Linked DNA regions of Rattus norvegicus. The main gene of each other region encodes a partner of the protein of the gene in region 2 in a complex. Links are inferred from orthologs where the notes say so. Each region holds a gene or a part of one and is shown on either strand. Other genes may lie near its edges.

The links. Proteins that work in one complex are often made in the same cells at the same time.
Region 1: Mepce (region 2) and Larp7 share a complex: the UniProt entries of both Homo sapiens proteins name them as parts of the 7SK RNP complex. The link is inferred for Rattus norvegicus from reciprocal best matches to the Homo sapiens genes MEPCE and LARP7.

Annotation. Positions count from the first base shown.
Region 1 is NC_086020.1:218,673,678-218,677,794, reverse strand, and holds part of Larp7 (la-related protein 7), read left to right. Parts: intron 1-1,178; coding exon 1,179-1,338; intron 1,339-1,469; coding exon 1,470-1,561; intron 1,562-4,117. UniProt on the Homo sapiens protein: RNA-binding protein that specifically binds distinct small nuclear RNA (snRNAs) and regulates their processing and function.
Region 2 is NC_086030.1:24,546,751-24,552,267, reverse strand, and holds the start of Mepce (7SK snRNA methylphosphate capping enzyme), read right to left. Parts: upstream 3,673-5,517; 5' UTR 3,082-3,672; coding exon 1,498-3,081; intron 415-1,497; coding exon 196-414; intron 1-195. UniProt on the Homo sapiens protein: S-adenosyl-L-methionine-dependent methyltransferase that adds a methylphosphate cap at the 5'-end of 7SK snRNA (7SK RNA), leading to stabilize it.

The DNA of each region.
Region 1 (4,117 bases), on a different chromosome or scaffold from region 2:
TTATAATGGATAAATTGTAAATGCCTTTTGAACTGTGGTACTCTAAACTATCTGAAAAACTGATTATAAAACTCTCACCACGAATAGGAAACCCATTACAGTTTCATCAACTCAGTGCAGACTGGTCTCTTGCTGTGTCTTACGTAGTAATGATTAACTGGGTAACAACATTGGAAGGCTCTCAGGTCTCATTCTCTCTCTCTCTCTCTCTCTTTTTTTTTTTCCTTGATTGATGAAGGAAACATTTTTCAGTATGGAAGTTCCTGTCTTACAGAGCATGTGTTAAGGGTGAGCTTCTGTCTTCTAGGCCTGCAGTTCTCTTGTCCGTCACAGTTAAAGGATACACTCTTTTATCCTACAATAGCTAAAGTCTCAATTTTTTTTCTAAAACATTTTAAAAGAATTTGAGTTATTGTGCCTAGAAAATTCTATTCTATACTAAACAGTTTCTTTATTTCTTTAGTTTTAATGAGTGACATTTAACAATAAGATTACTGTAACATTCCTGCATAAATGCAGTGTGTTCTGTGGAGAACCTGGTGTGAGGAAAAAAACTTGATTAAGAATGCAGGAATCTCCTTAATTAGAGCTCACAGCAGGTGTTATAGGTAAAACTCTTCCTTGCTGGGTGACCTCAGCTTGCTTAGAAAAGGTTACTAAGGTATTTTATCTAAAACTGAGAGCTGTTGGGCTGTGTTCCAGTAAACCTCCCCAAGAGCCTTCAGTTTCTGTCCGTTATTGTACAATGTTGAGAGCTGGTTCTCTGTGTTCATTCACACGTGGTGTTGTGTAGGTGAGTGCGACTCAGCTTCTCCAAGCCTCTCCTCCTTGTATTTTCCTCTTCTTCGTACTAACCTCCTTCCAGCTTGCTGAGCGATGGGCCATTTCTGTTCAACTGTACAAGAGTTCCCTCAGCTGATCCCCTTGTCAGTTCATATTTTAAAGTCACATTCAAGAGGATGAGCTACAGTAATTTGCCATACGTTGTTAAATTGCTTCTCATTTATGTGTAAATGTATTTGAAGAGTAGTTCTGTATATTTTAGAAATATTTTATATATTTACCCATCAACTAGAGAGTAGCTTGATAGAATGCATTTTGTAACCTCTGGTTACATTCGTTTATTGTCAGACATTGTTAAGGTGATTTTTAAGTTTTCATGTTTCTTTCCTGTATAGGATATTTTGGCCACAATCTCAGAAGTTGTTTACATTGATTTGCTAGAAGGAGATACTGAATGCCATGCCCGATTCAAAACCCCAGAGGATGCTCAGGCAGTAATGAATGCACAGACTGAAATTAAAAAGAAGCACAGTTGGAACCTCGAGATCCTTTCTGGTAAAACCCAATTGTGTTTCTGGTGAACACTTATTATTGTAGGGGATTCTTTTACTTGTTCTGCACTGGGCTAATGAACCTCTTCCCCCAAACACTCGAGCTGGTGGTCAGAGCTTTTGCTTCTTTTTAAGGTGATCATGAGCAGAGGTACTGGCAGAAGATTTTGGTAGATAGACAAGCCAAACTTAATCAACCTCGGGAAAAGAAAAGAGGCACAGAAAAGGTAAGGAGTCGTATGCATCTTCTGATGGTAATAAATGAGGATGAGTTCACTTGTATTTCCTCTTAGAGAGTACTGCTTCAGACTGAAAAAGAATGCAGATTTCTCCTGCTTTTGGAGTAGATGGAGTTAAGATGCTTTCTCACAAGGATCCATAACTGTGATTGCATTTTAAGTGGACCCAGTCCTGATTCAGAGCTGCTAGGCTTTGTAGGTTGCGGATAAGTGCCTGTAGAAAGATTTTCTTCTGTACAGGCTTGACACATGTGAAGTTTCTGATGGCCACGTTTTTTATGATAAGTGGCACCAGCAAACTGAAATAATTAAAACAAACTGATTCATTCAACAGTTTTATTTCTATGATAATTAATGTAATATGTTGCTCACTGAGAATGACATTTATTCTATGAAAGCAGATGATTGTTCTTTTAAATATTGTTGTAGTAGAAGGGCTTAGAATAGACTGTTAAGAACTTTGAAAGCCATGGTGCAGATTTCCTATGCATATTGGCTTGGTGTGTTTTTTCATTTTCCTCCTTTGGCATTGATGATGATTGACAGGACACTTGCCACTGTTAGGTTTTGTCAAGTTTTTTTCTTGAGTGGAGACAGGGAGGCCTCCTTCCTTGAGGCTCTTTCTTCTTGAAGGTGTGAATTTCAAAACTAGTTCAGATGGCAATGTAGTAATCCAGAACAGATAGGTAATATTTATTCTGCTAATTAGTGTGAGGGTTTGTTTGAATTGGCTATATTTTTTTGAACTAGTCATTAAAACATTTTATTTTTAATCTTAAAACCTTTTTATTTTATGTATATGTGTACACTGTCACTGTTCTGGTGTGTCCAGAAGAGGGCATCAGATCCCATTACAAATGAGCCACCATGTGGTTGCAAGGAGTTGAACTCAGGACCTCTGGAAGAACAGTCAGTGCTCTTAACCATTTCTCCAGCCCTATTTTTAATTTTTAAATTCTTTATTAATCACTTTAGTCTCAAGCAAAGAAGTGCTTTACCTAGCATTTTGTAAAGTTAAACTGGGATAACAACAAAGCAGTTACTCTTTATGAGTTAACATGCTTCATTATCAGGGATGTTGGCGTGATCTAGATAGGAACAACTGAAGCTAGCTGCCTTCACAGTTTGAAATTCAATGGAGCTGCCACCCAGCTAGAAGAAAGGGAACCACAGCTAACCATTTGCTAATCTCACTTGTTTTCTGGTGCTGGAGATTGAACTCAGCTCCCTGAGGGTGTTAAGGAGTGCTTCCTCTACCTCTGGACTACCTGCCACAGCTGATGCTCTCTGTGCTCCTGCAAACAGAGCAGTAGGCGTGGATAACGCATTCCTGTTCTCCCTTAGCTTGCTTCTAAGCAGTGCCAGTGTGGCACAGAAGATTAAACCAGGCCGCTGTCAGATCCACTTAAAAATTCAGAAGTGCAACATTTTAGGCTAAAGTAATGGGAATTATTAAGTACATAGAGAACAATGACAAAATTTCAGTGATTATGACATAATTCCTTCCTTATATGACAGCTCATTGATTCCATGAGTTAAGGACAAAAAAAAAAAGAAAACAAACAAACAAAAAAACGCAAGCAGATCAACAGAAAGTGTGTTTACTCTCTGCACAGATGTTTGCATATGGCAATCAGGCAAATGTAAATGAACTCAGGATTACGAACATAGGAAACTATGACTTGATTTTCTGCCCCAGGTCTTGGTGGGATGTGCTTTAATTTTCACTTCTTGGAAGCCAGGAATCAGCCAAGGCTCAAGGCTTTGCGGTGCTGGGTGAGGGTTTTTTTATTTCTTCACTTCAGCTGTTTAAATATTCTTTAATACTTTTAATTAATTATTTTTACATTTCATGTAGATGTGCCTGTGCCACAGCATGGAAGTTAAAGGGCAGCTTCTCCTCTTGTCATGTGGGTCCCAAGGATGGAACTCCTGTTGTCAGGCTTTGAAGGAAGTGCCCTATCCCAGAGGCATCTCCCACATTTTTTAGATGTTTGACTTTGTTTTTAATCAAAATGGACTTTTATTGGAATTACTGCTGGATATTACCCAGCTAAAGACAGAATTCCTGTTTGGAAACACATCATTAGTGTGTTAGGCTAGCCAGAATTTTTATTCTTGCCATTTGTAAACAGTGTTTTAATTGAATCCTGTTATGGCCTCCTATCAACAGGTATGACATTAGATTTGATTAATGGATTGAGTGATTGAGACAGGGTTCCTGGCATCACACACTGACCTCAAGCTCACTCAAGCCGAGAAAAGCCTTGCACTTCTGATCCCCTAAAACTAAGCTATAACTTTTTTCTGCTAAGGAAACATTTTGCTGACTGTCTACACCTACAGTCCCAGCTACTCAGGTTTTAGAAGGTGTAATTGGCACAAAAGAATTGTAAAATTAGGTAGGTGTCTTAAGGTCAGCCTGATCTCCATTGTGAGTTCCAGAACAGCCAAGGCTACAGGGAGAAATCCTGTTTGAACAAAACAAAACAGCAAAGAATCACATCATATAAGAGGTAGAGTGAAAGAAAACAAGCCTGGTAT
Region 2 (5,517 bases):
TTTAAGAGAGCCTGGTCCAGAGTAAGCTTCAGGACAGCCAAGGCTACACACAAAAACAGTCTTGAATAATAAGGACTGGGGCTGTAGCTCACTGGTAGAGGGTAGGTTATCCCTGCCACGTGTGAGGTAAGGGGCTCAGTCCTCCGTAAAAATAAAAAGGTGATTATTCCCTCTCTCCACAGAAACCCAACTCACTGTGAGAGACTTTCTCCTGCAGTAGGACGACCACGGTTGGGGCTCCAGGACCAGAATGCCCCCAGGTCGCAGATGCCGGTAGATCCGGCGGAACATTCTCTTCAGCCCCTCATCACCCCAGTTCAGGTGCACCCACTTGGTGAGGCTGAAGCAGAGCACCACATCATACTCAGGTCTTTGGGCATCCACCAGCTCATCTCTGTCCAGGACATAGTTACCCTGTGGGCCAGAAGAGGGGAAGATGTCAAAAAGAGGGATGAGAAGCACTGCTGGCCCCACAACCACCTGAGGACTGAGAACCTCACTTCAGCCCTGTGGCTTCCTGAGGCTCTTCCCAACAGCACCCTCTTTTAGCCCCATGTTCTCTTCTCCCTTTTAAGCTCCTGGTGCTAAACCAAACAAACTTAAAGGGGAGCCTGGTTAGGTTTAAATTGAGCTAATTTATCTAATGGTTAACTGGAGAAATTACAGTGTTCCCAAAACCCTTACCCAGGAGACCTCACATACAAAGGCCATGCACTGTTTTAAAGACAGAGACTCTTAAGCTGTGTTTCAGGTCTGTTCTTTCTCTAAGGAAATAACCTTAAGAAATCTCTTTTTAAAGAAGGTAAACTCATCACCATTCCTGGGGAGACATTTCCCAGGCCAAGCCACTGGCAAAAGTTCCCCTGGATGGCCTAACAACTGTGTAATGGAGGGAACTAGCATGATGTCAGGCTGGGCACTCGCTCCATGTAGAGCCCTGCCTTCACTGCCCCTTCTCATTGTTCAGTCAGCATGGGAAGACAAGCCCATGAGTTCCTGACCAGTAATTTCAGCAGTCTGTGCTGCATCTGGGGAAAAAAGGCAAATAAAGTCCCTATCAAAGTCCCAAACTACACATATTGGAGTGTTTCCCCTCCCCCAGACACCCAACTTCAGGCTCCCTCAGGAGATTTGAGGACAAGGTTCCATCTGGACTCAACAGGAGAGGTTACCCTCAAGGGAAGCGGATTGTTTGGATTTTAGTCCCAGTTGGAAGCAGAACAAGTCAGCCCCCTATGTTAGGGATGAGATCCTTGTTTGTAGTCATGAGAAAAGACCAGATGTTAGAGCCTGAAGGTAGAGATCCCACTTTCCACGTTATAGGAGCAGAGATAACACACCCAGCAGAGATTCTCTGGCCAATCCAGACTGTTCTCTCCGGGAGATGGTTCTTGTATGAAGGAACAGATGCATGGATATGGCCATCCCCCCCAACACATCCCTACTTAATCTCATCTTCACATTGGGACCCTATTCCAAGAGCCTCTGGACTCTTACCGTGACGAAGACGACATTGTTGGGGAAGACAGATGTGTCCGCTCCATCCAAGGGCAAATGGGGTGCAGCGATGGGACCCCGGCTGGCTGTCAGTGAGGCTGGGAAGCAGCTCCTTTTTCGGACAGTGGTAGTCCCTTCCTCCCCCTCTGTCCCTGGGTCCCCCTCAGAAGTCTGAGCTTGGAGACGAAGCTCCTCGGACAGGTAGTGTCGGATATTTTGGCGGGCAGAGTGGATAAGTCGTGGATCAATGTCCAGCCCCACCATGCGGGCTGGGCCCCACTTGCAGGCAATACTTAGGGTCAGATGGCCAACGTTGCAGCCCAGATCTAGGACGTCCCGGCCTTGAAACCACTCAGGCTTCAATACCCTAAGGCGCATGTCCTCACAGGAAGGATTGCGATAGCCATAGTACTTGCAGTAATTCCCATACTGGAACTTGAGCTGTTGCTTTTTGAAGCCAGTTGCAGGTAGTGGGTGGTGGTGACGGCCTCCCCCACTCCCTCTGCCCTTTTCCTTGGAACCCTGGCTTCCACCCCTAGCCCCTGCCTCTGACTTGCTGGAAGTCCTGCGACGTTTGCGATGTCGGGAGGAGGAGGAAGAGGGTGCAGAGGTAACTGAGGCAGCTGGAGGGGCAGAAAGGGAGCCTGAGGAACCCTGCAGGGCAGACGGAAGGGGAGACACAACTTCATCCCTGCAGTTGATGGCTGTGTTGAGTTCATAGGGTTGAGGGTCATCTCGGTTCTGGCCTCTGTGCTGCTGCGTAGCACCCTCCCCATGGACTGAGGGTGTGAGAGGGTCAGTGGGCAGCACAGCTTGGCTATCATTCCCTCCAGATGCCTGCTGCTGCTGGTGGTGCGGTCCCCGGTGTCTATGGCGCTTGCGACCAATCTTGAGTGGTGAAGCAAGCACTACATGGGCTTCATCAGTGCACGTGTTGAGACTGAGTGGGTCAGTGATATCTTTTGGGATGAGGATCTCCACAGGGTCTCTCCCCTTGGCCGGAAGTGGGGATGACTTTGGGGTCTCCGCATTGAGTGCGCGACTCACTTCCTCATCCAGGAGGCTATTCAGGTTCAGTGGATCAAATATATTACCCCCCAGAAGGAAATTGGATGGTAACACGGAGTCGCAGTCCGAATTCACTCGCCGGCGCCTCTTGAAGGCCGGATGTTTGAAGCTTCCACCGCTCCCTCCCCCCACGTTACAGCTATTTCTTCTTTTGCCCCCACCACCCACTGGGGGTCGGTGGGGCTGGTAGCCATTGCGAGGTCGAGGAGGGGCTGGGGGACCCAGGTCCGTCCCGCCCCCTCCCCGGCGCTCCTCCCCCACGTCCGCAGGAGCGGCAGCTCGCCCGTGGGGCTCCCCATGCGTCTGTGCCTGGGGGCCGCCCCCTCCGCTGGCTGTGGCCCCGGCCGAGTGCGCGCGTGGGCCCGGCCCGCGTTCTGTCCCGTCGAGGAGCTCCCCGGAGGCAGCCTCTTGGTGCGATCGCACCTCGGGGCCGCCCCCTCCACCCGACTCATCTTTGAGCGGCGGCGGTGGGGCTGGCACCAGAAAGGGCTCCTTCTCCGCCGCCATCTCGATCATCTCCTCTCCCTGTTTAATTTCCCCTTCCCAAGCGAGGGTACTGAGAAGAGATCAAGGGGAAGCCCCCCTGTAACCCTTCCTAAGACCACCTCACTCCCTCCTTCCCCGAGTGCGCGCGCAGCTCTGCCTCGCGCCCAAGCGCCTCCACCTCCCTCCCGCAACACACCAAGCGCGCTCCACTCGCCCGCGAGACCAAAACAAGATGCCCGCGAGACCCGGACAAGCCGAGGAACCAACTGCGCGTGCGCTGACACCCTTTTCTCCGCCGCCTCTACCACTCTGCCGCGAGCGCGCACGACGGGCGCGCGTTCCGCTCGCCCAGGACCCACGCATGCGCGCTCCGCCACCACCCAGGCTGCGCGCGCATCGGGAGTGCGAACCAACTTAACGGCTCTGAGAGTTTAAATACAGCCCCCCCTCCCTAATAGCCTCACCCTCCCCCAGCCCGAGACGCCCACCGCCCCACACGGACACCCGACTTCCCTTCGCTGCTAAGTCCAAGCCCTACTGATATCCTTTGTCTCTGCTGTGAGATCCCACCCACCGTAGGCGGGGAACGGGAGCTGGTGTGAAAAGGTCTCCTTGACACCCGACCCTTGTTCCTGAGGAATGAGGCTCCGCGGTCTCCGCCCGGCTCTAAACCCAACAACCTCCCTGCCCCGCCTCCTTCCTCCCCCATCCCCGCCCCTCCTAGAGAGCGCCTGCGCACCGTCCTTTTGGGCTTGCGCGGGTTGAAGGGGCAACACGTGCTGGAGATGATGCTCCGCCCCCTCCGTCCTAGGGGCGGGGAGTATGACGTCGTTTCCTTAGGTTAGATGCACGCAGCGTGCGTCAGCACGTTTCCAAGGGTTGTGCATTCCCAGGAAAGGGGCAAGCTCATGAATTATTCATGAGCAATCTAGTCCTTCCCCTCCTTCTTCCCGCCCATCTCATTAGAATTAGAAGGATTTAGGAGAACCTGAGGGGGGAATGATAAAGTAGGCGAAGGAGTCGAGCACACTGTCTCAAGAACTGTTGTCAATTAAATGCAATACATTGTTTAAAATATTCTTCGAATTGAAAACAAGCAAGCACTAAAACATCGAGGCTGTACAAATTCCTCTTCCCCTGAAACGGCCTGGTCGTTCAGGCGACCTCCCTTCCACCAGCGAGGAACATCTAGAGAACCACGCCTTCCTCTCCTCCCTTCACCTACGTCAGGCCTCGGACGCCTCCGCTACAGTGCGGCGCCTGCGCATCAGTCCCCAGCGCGAAGGGTGGCGTTGTTGTTATCGTCAATGCCACCTTTCGCGTTGTGGATTTTACAGCATTATCGCTGCAGCTTTGCTCCACTAGACACACAAGCGAATGTGGGCGGGAACGGGTATCGACCTGTTTTGGGCCTTCTGCTTCGGCCAATGGGAAGCACTGATTCCATGCCGAGTCCCTAGACTGATGGCTGGCGGAGTTTCCCTGTCAGCAGACTATCAGAAAAGAAGCAAGAGGGGGGCCCAAGATGGTCTCAAAATATAAGAGCGTGACGGAAACTAAAAGATAGGGGTCATAACATGGAAACAGGAAGGAGAAGGAGATTTTAGGCAGAGACAAGAACGAAGTGCCTCAGGTGCTCCGCTGCAGCTTATGGGGGGGGGGGGGAATAAAGGCGCCGGCGTGGATTATGGGACTTGTAGTTTCACTAGGCTTTCACTCGGAAGATGGCGAGCTACTCCAGCTGCTCAGACGCAAAAGCGGCTTCCCTCGGCGCATGCGCACTACGTCTGTGAGCGCACGCCGCTTGGGGGCGGGATTTGTCCGTGTCTTCGCGCCTTCTCCTGGTGGCGGGAAAAGTAGCTCGAGGTGGAAGGGATGTGCGGAATGGCTGCGATAGCGTTAGCTGCGCTTCATCTTTAGGTCCTCGTCTCCCCAGAAGGTAGTTGTCTTTTATGCGGCTGCAGAGGAAGGTGTTAGCTGTGGTGAATCTGGGTACCTGTTGGCTGAGGAGAAATTTTCTCTTCAGAGTCACAGCGAACCCTAGCCTCTTCTCTTCAGAATCGCTAATCTTCAAAACACTCGTAACAAAAAAATAACCCAGTATTGTGGCGGGAAATGGAGAGTTGAGGGACAGTAGACTGAGCGGGAGCGGAGGGGAGGCTTCCACGGCGGGATTCTTGGTCAGGTGAGAGAATAGCAAACCGCTACTTGACGCTTTGAGGGGAGGCGAGGGTTGTTTGCCTGGGTGAGATCTTTGGTGTTAATGGCCGTACCAGAGAGAATTGATAAAGAAAGAGGAAAACTAGAAGAGCACTCAAAGTCCCCCCCACGGGGGAGGGGGTTCGGTTTTCATGGCGCCGCACCGTGATGGCTGTAAGCAGAAGTCTGGGAACATCCCCAAGGGCCAGCCTGAGGTGCGGGACAAGGTTGTGGAGGGACATGAGTGGAAGCCATCCAGAGGCTGAG